2 linked regions of the Xenopus tropicalis genome follow. The protein of the gene in region 1 purifies or fractionates together with the protein of each later gene. This does not show direct contact. Links are inferred from orthologs where the notes say so. Each region holds a gene or a part of one and is shown on either strand. Other genes may lie near its edges.

Evidence for each region. Proteins that work in one complex are often made in the same cells at the same time.
Region 2: the proteins of snrpa (region 1) and sf3a3 fractionate together in Homo sapiens (co-fractionation; 4 studies listed by BioGRID and IntAct, with this or other methods). This does not show direct contact. The link is inferred for Xenopus tropicalis from reciprocal best matches to the Homo sapiens genes SNRPA and SF3A3.

Annotation. Positions count from the first base shown.
Region 1 is NC_030684.2:78,495,427-78,506,822, reverse strand, and holds snrpa (U1 small nuclear ribonucleoprotein A), read right to left. Parts: upstream 7,298-11,396; 5' UTR 7,064-7,297; intron 7,003-7,063; exon of another isoform or gene 6,981-7,002; intron 6,676-6,980; 5' UTR 6,657-6,675; coding exon 6,584-6,656; intron 6,446-6,583; coding exon 6,273-6,445; intron 5,606-6,272; coding exon 5,432-5,605; intron 5,353-5,431; coding exon 5,173-5,352; intron 4,649-5,172; coding exon 4,560-4,648; intron 1,033-4,559; coding exon 873-1,032; 3' UTR 527-872; downstream 1-526. Other genes in the region: UPF0692 protein C19orf54 homolog, read left to right, coding at 7,656-7,728, 8,831-9,041, 9,805-9,873, 9,967-10,091, 10,239-10,368. UniProt on the Homo sapiens protein: Component of the spliceosomal U1 snRNP, which is essential for recognition of the pre-mRNA 5' splice-site and the subsequent assembly of the spliceosome. U1 snRNP is the first snRNP to interact with pre-mRNA.
Region 2 is NC_030678.2:83,818,436-83,829,369, forward strand, and holds part of sf3a3 (splicing factor 3A subunit 3), read right to left. Parts: intron 6,529-10,934; coding exon 6,437-6,528; intron 5,267-6,436; coding exon 5,184-5,266; intron 4,760-5,183; coding exon 4,621-4,759; intron 3,977-4,620; coding exon 3,908-3,976; intron 2,959-3,907; coding exon 2,891-2,958; intron 2,546-2,890; coding exon 2,438-2,545; intron 1,087-2,437; coding exon 1,017-1,086; intron 670-1,016; coding exon 505-669; intron 1-504. UniProt on the Homo sapiens protein: Component of the 17S U2 SnRNP complex of the spliceosome, a large ribonucleoprotein complex that removes introns from transcribed pre-mRNAs.

The DNA.
Region 1 (11,396 bases):
GACAAAGTTTCAGAGCTCAAGTCACATGGCTGTGGGTACTTTGAAAATAAGAAAATGGCAGGCCTCACCACAAAATTGTAAAATATTTTAAAGGAAAATCTGTTTGCCCTTTAGAAAAAAAAATAAAAATGAGCAAACAGGAAGAGGAGTGCCCTAAACCTACAATCACTTAGGAATACCTCCCAGGTCTGTCCAACCCATCCCAATATGAAAAGTGCTGGCAGCACCTCAAAAAACTAGTGAAAACCACAAAGCAAAAAGTGTTGGTATATGTCCCCTTCCAACTTTAGCCTTGAGTAAACTGCCACTTCTCAGACTTGATAGCAACAACTTTACCACCATCCATGGCCCTCATTGCGTTGTACAGTTAACATAGCCAAACAGAAACAGCCTATCAGAGAAATAAACACAATAACAGGGTCAACTTCAGCAGGTTTTTAGTGGTGTTTTCAAAATGAAAAGTATAACATTTACCACAAGTGCTGGGACATTAGTTTTTAAATAACGACTAAGACACATTGGTTTAAAAAAAAAAAAAAAAAAGAAAGTTTATTGCAAAGAAAAGAAAAAAGCTCCAGGTACAATGCCTGACTTGCAGACTCTGGGTGCAATGCTTAAAAGTAAAAACTTTAAAAAATATTAATAAGTTTTACTCACCAACATTATGACACCTCATCTCATCAGACAAAGTTTACTTTTTTAAAAAAAAAACAAAAAAACCTAGCATCTGCACGTATTGATGGAGAAGGGGCAAAAAAACCATAATACAACATCTGACTATTGTTCGGAAAAACTCTGCTCCGACTCCTGAGTCATGTCAGTGTGCGTGAGGATTGAACAGTACAGGGTACAAAATCCAGTGTGTTGTCCTGTTATTTCTTAGCAAATGAAATCTTCATGGAGTTGCTCTGTGTGATCTTGAATCCCTGAAGAGACTCGCGAGCAGCTCCTGCCTGAACCTCATTATCGAATTCCACAAAAGCAATGTCATGGCGGCCAGGGACAAGTCGAACTTCCTTGAAACCAGGAAATCTGGTAAAAAAAATAATAAATTTAATGGGGGGTGTTCACCTTTGTAACATACACATGTATGTACAACACACAATTTGCAAGTTTCTATTGAGATGCAAGAACCCTCTCTTTGGACCTATGTGAGACGATATTACAGCATTGGAAGCTTTAAAAGGACTGCTTGGCAAGTCACTATGCTATTTCTTTATCTATTGGACACTGTCCTTATCCAATGGAAAAAAAAAAGAAAATACAATTGTAGGGTGTCTACAATCTGCATTACTTAGAACAGTGCTGTCCAACTGGACCCCCCTTTGTGTGGCCCCCCACCTGTCTGGCTGCTTTGATGGCTTACCTTTGAGTAAGCTTTAAATGGTATCAGTACTGAGATTAACTGCCCCCCCTGCATGGTTCTCACCTCAGATTCAGGCTGTAATCCCCCTGTATTGTTTAAAAATGTAATCCCCTGTGTTTTTCACACCTTTTAATTCCTGCATTGTTCACCCCCTGCAGTGTTCACACCTCAGGCTCACTGAGGTTCACTTCTTCACACCTCAGGTACCTACAGTACCTATGTAGGTACTGCCTGGACTATGCTGCCTGTGTGTATGGCACACACAGGGAGCATAGGGCAGGGAGGGTATGGTACACATAGGCAGGGTAGGGCAGGCAGAGTATGGCACACACAGGGAGCATAGGGTAGGCAGAGTATGGCACACACAGACAGCATAGGGCAGGGAGGGTATGGTACACACAGGCAGGGTAGGGCAGGCAGAGCATGGCACATACAGCCATCATAGGGCAGGCAGAGTATGGCACACACAGGCAGCATAGGGCAGGGAGGGTATGGCACACACAGGAAGGGTAGGGCAGGCAGAGTATGGCACACACAGGCAGCATAGGGCAGGTAGAGTACGGCACACACAGGCAGGGTAGGCAGAGTATGGCACACACAGGAAGGGTAGGGCAGGCAGAGTATGACACACACAGGCAGGGTAGGGCAGGCAGAGTATGGCACACACAGACAGCATACTCTGCTTGCCCTATGCTGCTTGTGGGAGGTGAACCTGGCAGGGGTTTGTGGGAGTTTGTTAGCAGTTGGAAATAGCTATTAAATGGTCCCTAAGGTGTGTAATTATGTACTGGGGGTTGCTCTGCTATCCACAGGGGAGGAGGAGGCATATGGAATTTAAGGGTATATCTTAATATGACATAATTCTTTCACATATGAATGATGGTTGATATCCCCACAGTAAGCACCAAGCATTTGGGATTTTGCTGTGCTACCACCATTGTGATAAAATAGGTGTGGTTTCAAAAAGGGGAGTGGTCAAAACTGGCTTCCATTAGCGGCCCTCCACCATGTATGCTATAGAAATTCCGGCCCTCGGCACCGCAGAAGTTGGACAGCACTGACTTAGAATAATTATAGTTGCAGTACTTAAATATCAGCAAAGATTTAAGATCGACTATCCAGCATACTTAGGACCTGGGGTTTTCCAGATTATGGGTCTCTGTAATTTATATCTGCATACTTTAAGTCTACTAAATAAAAAAAGTAAAAAAATTTTAAAATGTAATTTAATTAAAACAGTCTATTGAAGATTCCCTTCCCATAATTCTGAGCTTTCTGAACAACAAGTTTTTGGATAACATCCTATAATGTACAGGTCCTTTTCAAAAAATTAGCATATTGTGATAAAGTTCATTATTTTCTGTAATGTACTGATAAACATTAGACTTTCATATATTTTAGATTCATTACACACAACTGAAGTAGTTCAAGCCTTTTCTTGTTTTAATATTGATGATTGTGGCATACAGCTCATGAAAACCCAAAATTCCTATCTCAAAAAATTAGCATATTTCATCCGACCAATAAAAGAAAAGTGTTTTTAATACAAAAAAAGTCAACCTTCAAATAATTATGTTCAGTTATGCACTCAATACTTGGTCGGGAATCCTTTTGCAGAAATGACTGCTTCAATGTGGCGTGGCATGGAGGCAATCAGCCTGTGGCACTGCTCAGGTGTTATGGAGGCCCAGGATGCTTCAATAGCGGCCTTAAGCTCATCCAGAGTGTTGGGTCTTGTGTCTCTCAACTTTCTCTTCACAATATCCCACAGATTCTCTATGGGGTTCAGGTCAGGAGAGTTGGCAGGCCAATTGAGCACAGTAATACCATGGTCAGTAAACCATTTACCAGTGGTTTTGGCACTGTGAGCAGGTGCCAGGTCGTGCTGAAAAATGAAATCTTCATCTCCATAAAGCTTTTCAGCAGATGGAAGCATGAAGTGCTCCAAAATCTCCTGATAGCTAGCTGCATTGACCCTGCCCTTGATAAAACACAGTGGACCAACACCAGCAGCTGACATGGCACCCCAGACCATCACTGACTGTGGGTACTTGACACTGGACTTCAGGCATTTTGGCATTTCCCTCTCCCCAGTCTTCCTCCAGACTCTGGCACCTTGATTTCCGAATGACATACTTTGGACCACTGAGCAACAGTCCAGTGCTGCTTCTCTGTAGCCCAGGTCAGGCGCTTCTGCCGCTGTTTCTGGTTCAAAAGTGGCTTGACCTGGGGAATGCGGCACCTGTAGCCCATTTCCTGCACGCGCCTGTACACGGTGGCTCTGGATGTTTCTACTCCAGACTCAGTCCACTGCTTCCGCAGGTCCCCCAAGGTCAGGAATCGGTCCTTCTCCACAATCTTCCTCAGGGCCCAGTCACCTCTTCTCGTTGTGCAGCGTTTTCTGCCACACTTTTTCCTTCCCACAGACTTCCCACTGAGGTGCCTTGATACAGCACTCTGGGAACAGCCTATTCGTTCAGAAATTTCTTTCTGTGTCTTACCCTCTTGCTTGAGGGTGTCAATGATGGCCTTCTGGACAGCAGTCAGGTCGGCAGTCTTACCCATGATTGCGGTTTTGAGTAATGAACCAGGCTGGGAGTTTTTAAAAACCTCAGGAATCTTTTGCAGGTTTTTAGAGTTAATTTGTTGATTCAGATGATTAGGTTAATAGCTCGTTTAGAGAACCTTTTCATGATATGCTAATTTTTTGAGATAGGAATTTTGGGTTTTCATGAGCTGTATGCCACAATCATCAATATTAAAACAAGAAAAGGCTTGAACTACTTCAGTTGTGTGTAATGAATCTAAAATATATGAAAGTCTAATGTTTATCAGTACATTACAGAAAATAATGAACTTTATCACAATATGCTAATTTTTTGAAAAGGACCTGTATGTGAAACAAGGTCTCCAGTGTAAGCATTACTTACAATACAATTGGTTAACTACAAAACTACAGCCAATTGCTCACTATAGGCAGGATGCTAGCCAAATAGTTACAGTAAGGGCAAAAGCAAAACATGCCAGACTTGGAAAAGACCGGCTATTCTGTAGGTTCTAAGTTATATTTTTATTAAGGTTTTTTGTGGACAATTTCCACTCCATAATTTTGCCCTGCAATACTGAAATATGACAAGGGTGTTTTTATGCAACTACGACAGTGTACAACAGTTATATTTTGTGCAATACTTACTGGTTAAACAGCATAGATAGCATTAGCTCATTTGTTTCCTCTGGAAGGTTGGTGAGGAAGAGGATGTGGTTAGGTGGGTTTTCAGAAATCTAAAAAAAAATAAAAAACAGCATTCAAAGTTATGACTGAAAAACTCAGACACAGGCAGTTTCTGTGGACAGCTCTTGAAAGACACCAGGTTTATTGGGAGTTGCCAGTATATTAAAGGAGATGTATCCTATAAAAATAATGAATGTACCAGTGAATTTTACTCCTCTAGATATAGAAGGATTGCGCTTAAAAAAGTTGTGCTTCTGGCAGGGACCATTAGGAAACGCCCACTCTTCATTTTAAACATGGTCAGAAGAGAGGATCTATAGGGAGCTCCAATAAAGGGGCCATTTTTACAGATTGGATTAATTTTAAGCACAAAGGGAAACCAGCACCATATATTATTCATAATTGCCTACAATATTAGGGTTTTCCCCATTTATCCAATATGTCTCCTTTAAGCACCGCACCCCCTCCCCCGAAAGCTGCAAAGAATAGTTAAGCTAGCAGACATCAGGTACTCTTTATAAAAGCTAGCGAGACTATCACCCACAGACAGATCTGGTGATGTAGTCTAACTTACTGGCTGCATGGGTGCCATCTGCCCAGGCATCAGGTGTCCATGGGGCATGCCTCCTGGTGGGATCTGTCCTGGTGCCATCCCTGGTGGTGGCATCATACCAGGGTGATGCATGTAGGGTGCCTGCCCAGCCATATGCATCATGCGTGGAGCTTGAGTCATACCAGGTATATTTTGCATGCCCTAAAAAATAAATAAAATTATGGCTGTGCACAACATAACGGGTTTCTTTCAAGAAAAAAAAAAAATTGTATGTATTTACCGCCATCTGTCCTGGAACGCCTGGAAGCAACGCAGCACCTGGTAAAGCCTTTTTAACACCCGGAGCTTCCTGGCCTTTCACCTTCCTCTTCTCCTGCCTCTTTCTGTCTCTTTCCACATAGGTACCTTTCATTTTGGCAATGATGTCAGAATCGGATTTTGAATATTGTATTCTCTGGAGTAAAAGCAAAATCAGCATAAAGACTAAAATAACCAAGTTTTAATGGAATGGGAGGAGATACTGTATGGAAACTGAACAGAATGTATCCACCACCACCCTACCCAACTTGGCTTTATAGTTCTTTTTTTCTAAAGAAATAATGAGCACAGATAAACAAACAAGCCATATATTTAATTGCACTGGGTGTGGGATTCCTTTAGCAACAATGTGCACAGCTATCCATGCAAACTACCTAAGCAGATGTAAACTCCCACACATTCACAAGTATTAACCCAGGAGCCCTGTAAAAATATTATGAAGGATGGTTATTGAAGATGTTATTAACTTATGTACAATATCCTTTTCAATATGGGAGTGCATAGTTTCTTCTCAACCCCTCAATGAAAATTAGCATACACCCCAAATATGCACGTACAAAGGTATGTTTACTTTATAGGCAGGGGGATTTGGAAAATTGTTTCTAGTCCTTTAATCTGCCAGTAAGATGGTATATACACCCATGTCCTTTCATATAAATATATGGGTCATTCCACTGTCACTGACCATTTTTCCATAAAGTGTCAGATATCATTCATGTCTCTATAACCATAGACTTATCCTAAAAGAACACTTTGAAGTAAAGTAAATGAAAAATGGGAAAAAAACTACAATAAATACTAACCATTGGTTTATCATAAAAGGGAAACCCCTGCATTGACCTCAGAGCATTTGTGGCACTGCTTATTTCTTTAAATATAACAAAAGCCTGTCCTCTCATCTTCAGGCTGCGAGACACCAAGATATCCAGAATCTGACCAAACTGTGAGAATATGGCATAAAGAGACTTCTTTAGCTCTAAAGAGAAGAAAGCAAAAGTCAAATCTTTGGATTTTCAAAGACCAAGTAATTCTAAATAGCACTAAATTGCAGTAATGTAAACACTGGTACAGAGATTTAGGTTGCGCTCCAGGGATTGCTACAGCCTTAACTCACCATCTTTTTTAATTTTCTCATTCAGGTTGTTGATGTAGATTGTGTTATTAGGCCTGACTTCTTGAACAGCCATACTTCCTCAACAACTTAATCTGAAGGGAGAAAAAAAGGGTTAATTGCATCTTAAAATAGAACAATGCCCTGGTATAGTCTGTACATAAGCCCAGTTATGTATGAGCAGAGTGTGCATATAATATACCAGTGCCTATACTACACGCAGACTTATTTACTTGTGCAAACTAAGGTCTACAATATATTTTCCTTTGCGAGCCATATAGTAGTAACATAGTATTATTAGTATTATCAACACCCAGATCATAACAAAACTACACAGCCCCTGACACAGCCATGCAAAGAACACAGGGTAACATTAAAGTTGAAATATCACAGCCGGGACCTGATTGTGAGAGGCCCGTAGTTGTTGTGGCACAGCTAGGAAGCGGGAAGATATAACAATGAACGGGACGGAAGCATACTTACCCTCAGCCTGGATATGATACAGTTAAAAGGGCCGCCAAATTAAACGCTGGGCTTGTGCTACGATACGAATACGGTACGCTGGAAAAGAAATAAACTTCCCGGATGGAACGTACAATAGCAGGAAATATTTCAAGATAGCAACGCAAGTCGCATGCACTAAAACCCAATGTGATTAACTGAGATTGCCGCCACCGGAAGGCCTTGTACCTAAATTCATTCAACGCCCAATTTACGTCTAACTTAGGCCGCGTTGCTACAGCAACTCTCGACGTCTTGCAGGTATATCATTGGTGACCTACCCAAATCTTCATCGATTGGCTGCAAGCCATAAGTGAAAGCCATTTCACCCTATAGCAATAACCCAAAGCAAGCCGCGCGACCAATGAAATCGGAGGCCGAGGCGTAGAACGCGGTGCAGCTGCTAATATATTCCTCCCGGAAACAGGAAACGGACTCCTGCGGCATACGTGACTATATTGTTTTGCTATTGTTGTAGGTGTTCGTGAATATGATTTCATGGCGTTTATAGCTTAGGTGATAGTTTTCAAGATACTATCGTTGGCAATTAAAATGAATAAATTAACCTGTACAGATGAACAAGGGGATACATATATGGTTTAGTACACACGTGGTCAAAGAATGTTTCCGAACTGAAGCCGGATCTGGTAGTTTTTTTCACCAACATGCTATAAAGTACGGTGTCAGATCTTGTTTACAACCTGTAGCTAAATCTGCAATGTAAGGTTTAGAAACGACATATTCCTCAGCGTCTCGGAAAATGTTTAATCTCTCACACAATCCCTCCCAGTAGCAACACAATTTCATCTCCGTGCAATGGCATTACTAGAATTACAGGGACCCAAAGTCAAGTCTTTTTAGAACCCCAAATTTGTATTAAAATGATCTGTTTAATGCGCCTGTAATAAAATAGATTTTCAGTTAGGACTTCCTTGGGGAGTTGATACAATGACCTGTTGCTTTGAATTGCTAGGAAGTGACACCCACAGTTCAGGGTCAGAGTAGAGAATTTAGCAAGGTCAAGATCTATTTTTACAGTAACCAGACCAGGGGCAATGGGTCACTGCAATAGCTTGCATTTTGCACCCCAGTTCTGTCCAAAGGCTGCAAAAAGGTGTTCATAGCACAATTTGCAGGGGCAGGTATAGAGACTGAATTTGCTACTTGAACTGCAAAGCTCAGAATCCTCCTTGCAAGATATTTGCTTGGAATTGTATATTTGCCATAGTTCTGGTGACAATATTTTGATATCCACTACTGAGGCCTAAATATCACATACTAATAGAATGTGGGCTATATAGTCTTTGCCTATATATTGCAAAGTATACTATATAATAATGCTTGAGGAACCCACAGACTCCAGACTGCTCTTCCCTGTACTAATTGCCAGTGTAGTAGTCTGGTTATGAGTAGTAAAGTATCTGGAGTCAGCTTCAGTTTTCTGGTCATTATTATTATTTATATAGCACCATCCCTTTACAGAGATTATACATCACCACATTAGTTCCTGCCACAGTGAAGCTAACAATTCACACACAGCAGGACCAGTTTTATCAGGAGCCAGTTAACCTGTGTGTATATTCGAGTGTGGGAGGAAACCTACACAGACAAGGAGAACATACAACTTCTTGCAAAACAGGATAATTGAGAAATATATGTTAACACCTGTTATAAAAGAATACAGTCATTGTATCACTGCTAAATAAACAATGTGGGAAATGATTTATGATATGTGAAATGTTTTTACAGGACCTATGCCACATACCAATGAAGACCCAACTGCTCAACAAGCAGGGGTCATTCTGGATCCACCACCTCCATTGCCTCCACCACCACAGATTCATCTACTACCACCAACTGTGGCGAAGTGCAAGTTCTTTAAAAAAGTAGCTGAAAACAGTGACCCATCAACTGGAGGCTGTGAAGAGTTAAAAAAGATGATCAAAAATAGACAGAGCAGGTAAGCAAAATCCAGGTCCAAGTGTAATAGGAAATTAAGAGGTGCTTAAAAATGTAACATACTTAAGTCTACTAACCACTGCACAGGTCTGGACTAGGTTTCAAAATAGGCAGCGGCATTTCAAGTACACAGAGGCCCAAACAGCCCCCCACCAGTCCAATAAATAGCAACTGTCTATGGCATCTTACAGCAGCCCCTCTGGCATTTGGCAGAATCCACAAATTGCCAGTCTGGGCCTGCCCCTGCACTTTAGTAAATCATAAGAAGCTATACATCCAGTTACAACAATGTATTAGGGCTCCATTCCTAGCATTTGAATATGATTGGCCAGATACAGCAAATTAAATTGTTAAATTATGGTAGCCAGAAAACCCTCCATATAAATTATAATACAACCAATATTAAATGGGATGCCCACCCAAATACACTTTTTTTAGCACAGTAAAAGAATATGCAGTTCTAAACAAAATGAATTCCAAACTTCCACTGGTGTTCAAGCTGTTTGTAAATGTAATTGCTATTGAAATCGGTAGCTATTGTGCTGTTTATAGTGTCTGGTTCTGACTTCTGAAATAAAGTAGCAGATGCCTACTGGGGGATGCTTATAATACTTTTCACCCCCAGAGACATAGGTTTTTCTTGTTCTTTAAATTGACATTTTCTTTGTAGGTGAAGTTGCTAGGTTTAAAGTGTACCAAAACAATGGCATGTTTATGAGGTCAGTACATTTTGTGACAATAGATGTTGTGTGTTTCTTTGACAGATTTAATGGGGAGTTAAAATGGCTGCTTTATAACCAGTATGTACCATCCTTGATACAAGAAGGACCTCAGTAAGTGCGTACATATGACATGGTGCTTTGGTGTTTTTTTCCCTGTATTAAAGCATTGTCCATCATACATGCTACTTTTTCTGTCCACAACAGGTGTGGGCTGGTGGCTCTGTGGATGGCAGGGAAATTACTGAACCTGGCACATGAAGCACCACTGCAAACCATTGTAGAGGCTGCTGTTTCTAGAGGGTACACAGCTCAGGGGGAGATGTTTTCAGGTGAGTGATGTTCCAGTGAAGTTTTGCTGGCTACAGGAGTTACTGAGGCCTCACCTACAAACACACTCTCTGCACACAAGTCCTATTGGGAATGTAATTGATTAACCTTCTTATTCATGTAAATAAATGTAATTATGTTTCCCATAGCTGCCAACATGGCTGTCCTGGCAAAGGAAGTGTTTGGCTGTCGGTCTGAGCTACTTACAGGTGGAATGGATGGAGAGAATAAAGGCAAAATTTTGCAGCAGCTGACTTCAGGGTTGCCTGTGCTCATCCCGTATCCTTTTGCAGTAACAATATATGGAGAGTGCAGCTACAGCTTTTCTCTGTCTGGCAGAATTACAAGGCATGGTTTGTGTAAAATATGTCCTAGGTGCTCCCCACCACCACAAATCACCCATGAGACATTGAGAAAAATTGGGTGGTTAGAGGGATCAGCTAAAGTGTGGCCTTTAATCAATGCAGCCTAACAACTTGCATGTATATTGATATTTTCGATTTTTTTTGCAATTTGAGTTTTTACAGCGGTAAAACTAATATAATTCCAGTTTTAGTCCAAAACTTCAAATGTCTGGTATTTATTAAGTGCAAAAAACTTGAAACTTTAAATGTAAAATTTCACCACCTAAAAGCTTGTGAGTTTTTTGTAGAAGTCAATGGGAGTTGTCCTAGACAAAGTCAAGCTATATTTGCAAATTTGAAAATTTTTAGTTTTTTGACTTTGTAAACTTGAAAGATTTGGGGTATTCAAGCTTTTTTTATTTGGACAAGTTTTTCTTATTAAAACATAAGCGAGCATTCCATATGCGAGTTTATTCAAAAATGAATAAATAAGCCCATTGTGAATCTTTGTTTTAAAGGAACAGTAACACCAAAAAATGAAAGTGTTTTAAAGTAATTGAAATATAACGTACTGTGGTCCTGCACTGGTAAAACTGGGGTGTTTGCTTCAGGAACACTACTATAGTTTATATAAATAAGCTGCTGTGTAGCCGTGGGGCAGCCATTGAAGCTGGAAAAAAGGAGAAAAGGCACAGGTTACATAGCAGATAACAGATAAGACACCATTGTATTCTACAGGGTTTATCTGTAAGCTGCTATATAACCTGTGCCTTTTCTTCTTTTGAATGGCTGCCCCCATGGCTACACAGCAGGGTTTGTATAAACTCTAGTAATGTTTCTGAAGCAAACACAAAACTTTTACCAGTGCAGGGCAGCAGTACATTATAGTTTCATTTCTTAAAAATATATACATTTTTTGGTGTTACTGTTCCTTTAACAAAGTATTTTGTTTCCTTTACTCGC
Region 2 (10,934 bases), on another chromosome or scaffold:
GGCAAAATCCAAGGTAAGGGTAATGTAACAATTTTAATCTAACATCTAATCTAACATTTTTTTCAACATCTAACTAATCTAATTTTATTTTTACAAATGCATTCTAATTACATTCTTTTCTAGGTTTTTCTTTTTTTTAAATGACTAGTGTGGCAGTTTCAGCAGTATCTATAGGAAATGCCTTGGATAAAACAAATATAGCGGTTCAAATCCAAATCCATCAAAGAGTTTTAATGTTGTATTTCCTTTTTTCAGTCAGATGTACCTATCCCTACTCCTGTTCCAAACATATGGATTAAGGTCACCTAGGCATCAAACGAACTATTAATAAAAATTGGTAGGTCGCTCATACTGGAAACCTTTCAGGTTACAAAACTCACCCCCCCCTCAAAAAAAACAAAAAAAAAGGACCACAGGACATAAAAATATGAATATGTACAAAGAGACCCTTTGCCCAATGCAATCTAAGTTGCATAACATGGTCACCCTTAACACCATGCTTACCTTGCCATCCCATCCAAGAGGAAGGTTTTTAGGGTTGTAAATAATCTCATTATCCTCATCATCACTCTCACTCTCACTGATCTGTTCTTCTTCTTCTTCTTCCCTCTCCTCACCTGTACGGGCTTGTTTACGCTGTACATTCTCATGGGTCAGATGTCTCTGTTCCTGAAAACCAAGAAAGTATGCATGGTTATAGACTAATAAATAACAGCAAAAGTTTAAGCCTAAATCAACATTGATAAATAAGTCTCCCCCATTTTGAAAATTACTTTTGATAAGGCAAGTGTCCATTTTACCTCTTTTTAATTTCATTCTATTTTATGGAAAAACTTTTCTGACTACATAGGCCAAACAGTTAAATAAATAGCACTGATCACCAGGCAGTCGAAAAACAAGCCAACAAAACAAACAACTTGGATTTAGAGGGGAGCTTGGAAATAGACACAGACAATACTGTGTGCAAGAATCTAAGGATCATTGTACATACAGTATTATTCATTATGGTTACTTACCCCTAGAATTTCAACATATTCATACACCTGAGCTTCAAGGAATGCAATGTCTTTGTTTTTCTCTGTGTCTCTGTATGAAAAAATGCAACATTTTATTAAACAGATTACTGTGCAATGAAATGCATATATTATCCTCTAATTGTAAGTAATGCCTACTGAAATCACTTACCACTGCTCAAATAGTACAACTTAGCAAGTCTTATACGTATAGCTGCAAATTGCATGTTTGTGTATGTACCTGTGTCATTCACCCAAAGAGATCAATATTTCACACCAAAGATCTCCCCTATTATACTTACGACATTCCCTGCTACACGGTTGAAGCGAATACAACTTTTCTGTACCTATAAACAGTCACTTTTTCTACTATTTAACAACCCTCGATTTCAAAGAGGGGAAACAGATTCCCAATTTGATCTGTGGAATCGCAAAAGGCAATGGTAGGATTATTACTAAATCCTTATACATTCTTAGAACTGCAAACAAAACAGTGACTCCCCAATAATATCTTTGCATAGCTAAAGATTAAAGGCTATGTAAATTTGGTGACAAAGTATAAAACCACAACTGTCTCATAACCCCCTAGATATACTAATAAGGGTTAATAAAGGGTGACTCCTCTTTGCATCAGGGGGTTTCTACCATCATAAAACCAATGATACATTACAACCTACGTAATAAGTTTTGTGGCCTTGTACCGCATTAGATGCCTTTTGGGGGAAATGTCTTAACACAAGTAAGCACACTGTGCAATATCCCCATTTCTCATACAAATCCACAGATACTACTAGGGTTATACCCTAAATGCACAGACAGCAGCAAAAAAAGGTTATCTTTTGACTGTTGATCTTTATGACTAGCAGAAATACTGGTCTTGAAAGCAATAATTCTATCCTAGAATGCTGAATGACCACATAACCTCCTTCAAAACAACTGTGGGAACGCAAACTACTATACACAATGCAACTTCAATGGGTCTTAGCACTCCAAGAAAGGCTAACATTTCTACCATGTCTGGAATAAATACTTAAGATACATCGAACAGCCGAAAACAGCATAAAGTACTAGCCCTCTTCCAATACACTAAATGGTGGGCAGAAGCTTCTCTTCTAGGTGAACTAAATAACCAGACGACAGGTCGTGAGAGTTACAATCCCGCTTCCTCTTCCCCTTCCATATAAAGATAAAAAAAAAAAAATGTACTATCATTTACACACCTTACTAAATGGCCTTCTCTGCTCCATGATCCCTCTTTTATCCTCTCATCATCAACAGATTGTAAACACAAAGCTAAAAATGAGGTTTCAGCTCTCACTGAAGACATCATGAGAGTAGAACTGCAAACTACATTTATACATAATTGTTTTAAAACAGCTGCAATCTGACTGCAGTGGAGTACAATCATTTATTGGCCCCCTTACCTGCGAGTTCCTTTCGCTTTAGGATTTTTTGCAAACAAAGATGGATCCAGAGACTCCAAAGATTTGCCTTTTGTGCTGAAAAGTCTTTGTGCTCTTTCTTCCAATGTCCTAGAAAGACAGAACAATAAATAAACTCCTTAAACGTAGACTTAACATAAGTCTTTATGATTATATAGAGAATCTGTTTTAAGTTATGCCCTTTTATTTTAAACTGTGAATGCAAAACAATTTGATACATGTTCACTTACATATTTAAACAATATAATGCATTGTGTGATACTAAAATGGCAAACCGCCATTTTGTTATACAACAGGAATCAAAGGCAAACAATCTACTGAATGCACATGCAATATAAATTCAATTTATTTAAACGTGAAAGTCAACACCAATATGTTTATGCTACAGCAGAAAAAAATTCTGTCTGCATTATCTATAACTGCAAGCTCACTTACCCTCCACATTTAAGGCCTAAAGCCATCAGTGCAGATTTTAATCTGTCAAGACCAAGAGAGGCCAACTCCTGCAACAAGAAAAATAATTTCAAACAAGTTTGTTGCAATATGACTTGGATAAAGCTACAAAAACCCAATTATGAACATCTTCTCCCAAAAAAAGAGATCTGTGTCTGCTGTAAAAAGCTCATGTTAATTAAAATGTCTTAAAAAAAATTTAGTGTTACCTTTCCTTTAAGTAAAAAAATCTATTCTACCCTGCCCCAATAATTACCTTATCCTGCACACCATTTATTATTTTGAATTTATTATAAAATATCTGCTAAAACTTGGCTTCCAGTCATTTGAAATAGGGAGATACGGAGATGCAGGGAAGAATCCACTATGCGACAATTGATTGATCGATCCTAGCCTTCCTTCTGTATAGGAAGGAGTCAGGCTAGGCTCGATTATTGGGGCAGGGTAGAATAGATTTTTTACTTGAAAATTTTGTGTTACTTTTCCTTTAAATACGCACCTGTAAAAATGTTTTATACACATATCCTATGAAACATCTTATATTTCCTTTATAAAAACAATGCTTTGGAGATACAACCCTCTAGCTACTAGCTAGTACACCATTATTTGAAGTATAAGTGAAAATTCCTCACAAAGCAGTTAATGACTTATTCTTCCATAATAAAAGACAAGGGCTGATGTCTCCACACATTTTAACATCAGAAGTAATGTCTCCATGCTTAAACTACTACAACGATTTGTGTTGAAATAAACACATCCCTAAAAATAGCACAAGGTTGAAAATACATTGTTTGCAGACTTCAGCAAGTAAAATGCCATCTACAAAAAAATCCATAATAGTGTTTTTACAAGCAGTGTAATTGTTTTTGCTGCTAGAAACCAACTGAAAAAAAATTGTACACGTCATAGAGATATTCCACAAATCTTCACTATGGATGTTTCTCTACACCCATTCTCTTTAATATTGTGGGAAAGATGAGAGGGCTTTCAAATACTTACCTCCCAAGAAGAGAAGGCTGACAGGTCCAGGTGAGCGCCAGCATGAGTGAGTGCGCTGCTTGTCTCTTTCTAAAAACAGCAACATTATCATTACCACAAGGCTCTTCTTATATTTTTAACATAGAAATACTCCTGTATATTAATAACATCTAGAATATATGCACACTCATGTGCTCAGACTTGGGGTTATTCCCTCATATTTTATGTATAACATTTGCTTAAGCTTCTGTTAATATTACAGCTTGATGAAAATATGCTTGTTACTTTAACCTAGATACAGTGCGTAAAACATTCAAGCAAATAATTATTCACCCATAAATGGCAAGAAAAATGTAATTCCTATTTCACATTAAATACAAATCTTTTTTGCTATTTTGATTCAAGAGTCATAACCAGCAGTTCAGAAATTAAATACAGCTACTGGTTAAATAAATAATACATTACATTTACAAATAACCTTAAAGCCACTGACAAACTTTCAATAAATGTATATAAGAGTTAGAGATATTTTTTTTTTTTTTTAATAACACAAAACAATTTTGGGTGGACATCCCCTTTAATATTACCTAATTTTGAACTAAGGGTCTAGGTCTATAAGAACCTCCACCCCAAGGTCGATTCATGAAAATTGGAGGTTACTTTACAAAATATACACTATAAAATTAGCAATTTTTTTTTTAAACACTACTATGGCACTACAATGACAAGTTTACCGGCCAGCCAGGAAATGCACCAGCCTCCCACTTCTTCTCAAACTCAATCTGTATTTTCCCAAAGAGCTCATTCTGATCCTGTAAAGGCTTCACCCGATCTGTATAGTCTTGAAGATATTCAAGAAGTACTTCCAAATACCTGTGGAGTAATTGTGGCAACAGGGATTTAGTCTATTATATAGATAAAAGAATTGGAGCAAAAGTACAAATTTCCAAGCTGCAGTGAATACAACATTTTGAAATCCATGTAACATGAGCTTGTTGGAAGAAATCAACCCTGTTCTCAAAGCTCTAATATTATATGTTTTTCAAAAACCTTGTGACCAGAACTCAATGCAAAGTTGCATCCCTAACAACTATTTTGTAAACTTATAAAATATACAGACAGATCTAAATGTTGTCAGACCCATTAACCCACCGATAATGAGTATTTTAGATATATTTTAGGTATAGCTACTATTTAAATGTGTATGTCTTTCTAAGAAGTTTAGGTTTACACCAGTATAGGCTAGAATGTATTTTGACCAATAGATACACATTATCACTTATTTTTAAGTACAAACCTTTTGTATTCTGCATTTTTCCTCTCTTTTGGAATGTCAAAAAGCTGGTCAAAGGTTGCAAGGTATGTGATATAATCTAATTTCTGAAGAAAGAAAACAAACAAACAAACATAAAACACAATACAAATTTTGCTATATACAGCATGCAAACAAGCTATATCATATATACATACACACAAGTATGGGATCCAGAAAGTTTTGAAATACAGGAAGTCCATCACACACACAATTTTTTTTATAATGGAGTCTAATTTTTAAACATGATTTCCTTTCTCTCTGTAATAATTAAACAGTGCATTATACTTGATGGTAAGATAATTAATCCTTACTGGTGGCAAAACAATTCTATTGCCTTTATTTAATGTTTAAATTATGTTTTTAACAGACTTGGTGTGGTGAACCAAAGTATGGAAAGATTCCATATATTTCTTGGTAGCTTAATGCACAGAATGTCTTAATCTTAATGTCCTATATATTGATAATAGGTTAGTGCAGGGGACCTTTTGTTTTTGTCTAAATGAATTTTGTTGGCCATAGTTGGCCAGCTTGAAATATATTGCAACATATGGAAAAACAATCCCTGTTGTCTAAAGGGCAGGGCTTTTTTTCAGTAGCTTAATTAGCAGAATGTTATAATATATATAAAATTGGTAAGTGCAGTGGACCTTTTGTTTTTGTCAGTATGAATGTTTTGGTCACAGCATCATTACACCCCTGCCTAATGGTTTATAAAATTGGTGAGCACAACTTTCCCTATATATTAGAATAGCATCAGGGCCATTTCCAAACACAGAATACAATGGAAAAAAAATGACTAGTGCACCAACATCTAATACACAGGGAACACATACACTGAATATTCAACAATACACTTACTACACGTAACTGAATCGCATAACAGTGTATGTTTGTTAAAGTAGCATTGCACTGAATGATCTAGTACTATTCATCTTCATCACCAGTTTTATGTGGTGTGTCATACAGAATAGATGTGAACAAATAGTTCAAGGGAGTGGGGTTGATGAAAGGTAGTATGTTAATGCAGTCATTGACTAAAAAGTATATCAAGCCGTTTTCATTCAGTCACGTTGTTCTCAAACAAATATATCATTTTAGGCCAAGAACAATCTTATAAAGTCATGGTACAAGTAAAGCAAAAATTATATCCTAAGAATGGCGCATTTTTATATACAGACTATTACTTAAGTATTTTGTTGCGAAATGCAGAAAAGTGATTTGCATTGAATTCTTACCTCTGAAGATTTGAGGTTAATATATTTCAGGTAGCAGTCATGGAGATCCATATATCTGCCATAGCCCTCTTCATCTGTAAATTCCACCAAATCTGTGTGGTACACAAAGAAGAAGGTCAGTGACCCCTACTCTAAAGCTGTGTGGTGCGCACTAAGAATTCTGTGCAAAAACACAAAATTTTGTATTTACTCTTACCAGAATATTCAGTTTTAAAAAGATGTGCACACAGGTTTAAAATATGTGTGCAAAATATTTTTTTTACACACATCCAAGAAGGAATTAGAGGGAACATTGGTGGTAGGAGCCCAAAAGGTCCCAAAAACTTAAATAAAAGACAAACTTTAATTTAACACACATTTTTTATTATATGATTTCTGTTCACCAAGACTCTTTTAGACTGCCTGAAACAGTCATTTTCTCCCTCGCTATTATAACATTTTCTTTTTAAATGTTAGGCATTACATATTGAGAATAAAGTCTTCATCAAGCTTAAAGGGGACCTGTCACCCTAAGAAATAATTACAAATTGTTTTATATTGTGTTTGTCAAGCAAAATAAACTTGAATTACACTACATACATTTTTTGAAACTTATTTCCTTCACCACTGGAATTCATCATTGCAGAAAACAGGCAGGCTCCATTTTGTGGACACTGTTATTAAAGCAAGCTGTGCATCCTGCCAAAATCTTGTGTATGTGCCAGAATGGGGGGGGGGGCTGATACCTATATCCATGCACTGGTTACAAAATTAGATGGTAAGGAAAGAGGGGGAATGTGAAAAGTGCAGTGACATCTAAGAAGTTCTGAATTGAAAGAGAGATTTTTGTACTTACCGTTAAATCTTTTTCTCTTGTCCTACGATTGGGGAACACAGGCACCATGGGGATGAAGATCCTGCAGCTTGGAGAATGGACACTAAAAGGTTAAAGTAGCTCCTCCTCCTGCTCAGGGCTTCGTCCCCCGCCTACTTCCTCTACTTGCCAGTTTGTTTTTTACCGAAGAAGGAAGGAAAAGGACCTAGCCGAGAATTGTAACCCACTCTTAGGAGAAGGAGCTCCCCCGGGAGACCCCCAACCAGAATGATTAACTGGATATAACTCAAAACTGTAACCCTTGAACTGTAGTAACTCGTATTAACATAGGGAGGGAAGGCCTGTGTTCCCCAATCGTAGGACAAGAGAAAAAGATTTAACGGTAAGTACAAAAATCTCTCTTTCTCTTGCCTACATTGGGGAACACAGGCACCATGGGGACGTCCCAAAGATTCCCATGAGGGTGGGACATCCAATGAACTCTTGGTGGTTCAAGGAATAACTGTCTAACACCTTCCTCCCGAAGCTAGCTTCGGCAGAGGAGTATGTGTGAATCTTGTAGAACTTCGAGAAAGTATGTAAGGAAGACCACACCGCAGCCCTGCATACCTGTTCAGCGGAGGCCTGATTTCTCATGGCCCACGAAGTGCTTAATGATCGTGTAGAATGAGCCCGGACCTGGAAGGGTGGTGGTCTTCCTCTGGTTGCGTATCCTCTAAGGATGGTAGCCCTAATCCATTTTGCTAAGGTGGTCTTGGAGGCCTTTAGACCCTTTCTGGGGCCTTCCGGTATAATGAAGAGGGTGTCCACCTTTCTAACCTTTTTCGTTGCCTCTATGTAAGTCCTAAGCGAGCGTACCACGTCTAGGGTGTGAAGTTTCTCCTCCTGATGGCTTTTGGGATTAGGGCATAGGGAAGGTACCACAAGGTCTTGGTTAAGGTGGAATTCCGAAACCACCTTCGGCAGGAATTCCGGTGTTGGTCGCAAGACCACCTTGTCAGCATGGAAGATGGTGAACGGGGACTTGTGAGACAGGGCTGAAAGTTCCGACACTCTTCTGGCCGATGTGATTGCCAGTAGAAAAACGGTCTTGGCTGTCAGTGTTGAAAGAGGGATGGAGTCCAGAGGTTCGAATGGATCCTCCTGTAGTGCCGACAGCACCAGATTTAGGTCCCATGGTGGGATGGGGTGTCTGTACGGAGGGGCGATCCGCAGGGCACCCTGTAGGAAGGTTCTTATGTTCGGTCGTAAGGCCAGCTGTTGTTGGTAAAGTACGGACAGTGCTGACACCTGTACCTTCAAGGAGCTGAGGGCGAGCCCTTTGTGGAGTCCCTCCTGAAGGAATATTAGAAGGTTGCCCTCTTCCAGGACCTGTGGGTCCCTGCTGTTGGTCTCACACCACGTGATGAATGCTTTCCAAATCCTGTGGTAAATGCGGGCTGAGACTGCCTTTCTTGCTCGCAGCATGGTTGGTATGGCTTCGCGTGGCACTCCTGTCCTGGCTAAAACTAGGGCCTCAAGAGCCACGCCGTTAAAGCCAGCGACTGTAAATTCGGGTGGACGCATGGACCCTGCGTCAGGAGATCCTCCCTGGCTGGAAGGGGGAGCGGTTCGTCTGCGGAGAGTTCTATCACGTCTGTGAACCATGGTCGGCGTGGCCAGTAGGGGGCCACCAGGATGGTGCTGATGCCCTCTCTTCTTATTTTCTTTATGACTCGGGGCAGAAGGGCCAGGGGTGGGAACACGTATACCAGCTCGAACTGCCACGGAACTACCAGTGCATCTACTGCCAGTGCTGATGGGTCCCTGCTTCTTGCTATGAATCGAGGTAACTTGCGGTTGTATCGTGATGCCATGAGGTCTACTTCTGGTAGGCCCCATCTTGCCACGATTTCCTGAAAGGCCTCTGGGTGGAGGCTCCACTCTCCCTGGTCTAGAGTTTGACGACTCAGGAAATCTGCTGTCCAGTTCTCTACTCCCGGAATGTGGACCGCGGAGATTGCAGGGACATTCTGTTCGGCCCATAGTAGGATCCTTTGTGCCTCTGCTAGTGCTCTTTGGCTGCGTGTTCCTCCCTGATGGTTGATGTAGGCCACTGCTGTCTGATTGTCTGTTTGTACTCTTATCGGGTGGCCTCTTAGGAGATTTGTCCAGTGAGCCAGTGAGAGGAAGACTGCGCGGAGTTCTAGGATGTTGATGGGGAGGGAGCGTTCTTCCCTTTTCCAACGTCCCTGGACCGTTCTGCTTGCCAGGACTCCTCCCCAGCCCTGTAGGCTGGCGTCCGTTGTCACCACTGTCCACTCGTGACTTGGGAAGGGGCTCCCTAACTGTAGTCTGGGTGGGTGTTGCCACCAGGAGAGAGATGCCTTGACCTGTGGTGGGACTGATATTACTCTGTCCAGGTTTTGTCGGTCCCTCCTCTGTTGTAGGATGATTAGTCTCTGGAGTGGTCTGGTGTGCAGTTGCGCGTATGGCAGCGCTGGAAATGCTGAGACCATTGTGCCTAGGGTCTGCATGCAGATGCGTAAGGGTAGGCTGTCCGCTTGTTGAATTGTGGAGATCCTTCTGCACAGGGTGGCTACTCTGTCCGGAGGAAGGAAAACTCTCCTTGCGGCAGTATTCAGGGTGAGTCCCAGGTACTCCACACTCTGCGCTGGTGTGAGGACTGACTTTTGGTAGTTGATCAGCCATCCCAGACTTGACAGTGACTGGATCAGAATCGAGAGGTGATGGTTGGCTGCTAGCACCGAGGGGGCCTTCACCAACAGGTCGTCCAGGATGACCTTGACTCCCCGAAGTCTGAGGCCTGCTAGGGCTGCTGCCATTATCTTTGTAAAGATGCGCGGTGCGGAGGACAGGCCGAAGGGAAGGGCCACGAACTGCCAGTGTTCCCCTGCCACGCAGAATCTGAGGAAACGGTGGTGGTTGGGGTGAATCGGTACATGTAGGTACGCATCCTTGATGTCTACCACCGCCATGAATTCTCCCGGTTCGAGGGACATTAGGACTGATCGTACGGACTCCATTTTGAAGTGATGTCTTTGGACGAATTGGTTGACGGCCTTGAGATCTAATACTGGGCGATAGGAGCCGTCCCTCTTGGGCACCATGAAGAGGTTTGAATAGAAACCTCTGCCCTTTTCGGAAGTTGGGACCGGGTGCACCACTCCGGAGAAGACCAGGTTGCGCAGGACCTCCTTGTAGGCGGAGCGTCTGGGTTCCTGAAGTGGTAGGCGTGACATGAAGAAGCGTTGGGGAGGTGGTTGAGAAAACTCGATTAGGTAGCCGTTGGAGACTACTTGGAGGATCCAGGGGTCTTGTACCTGGTTTAGCCACACCTCCCGAAAGTGTCTTAGGCGGCCGCCTAAGGGGATGCCTTCGGGGGTGGGCACCCCTTCAGGCAGAGGTGGACTTGTCCTGGGAGGACTTGGAGGTGTTCTTAGTATTGGACCAAGAGGTGGACTGCTTGGCTGGGTATCTGGGTCGGAAGTGTCCCCCCGACGAAGTCTGATGCTCCTTAGAGGCTGCTTTTTGTCTTTGGCCCTGACGAAAGGGCCGAAAAAACGGTCTACGTCTGAATGGGGGTCTCTTGTGCTTGTTTTGTGGGAGCAGGGTACTCTTTCCCCCCGTGGCCTGCGAGATGATTTTATCGAGTTCAGCCCCGAAGAGCTGTTTTCCTGTGAA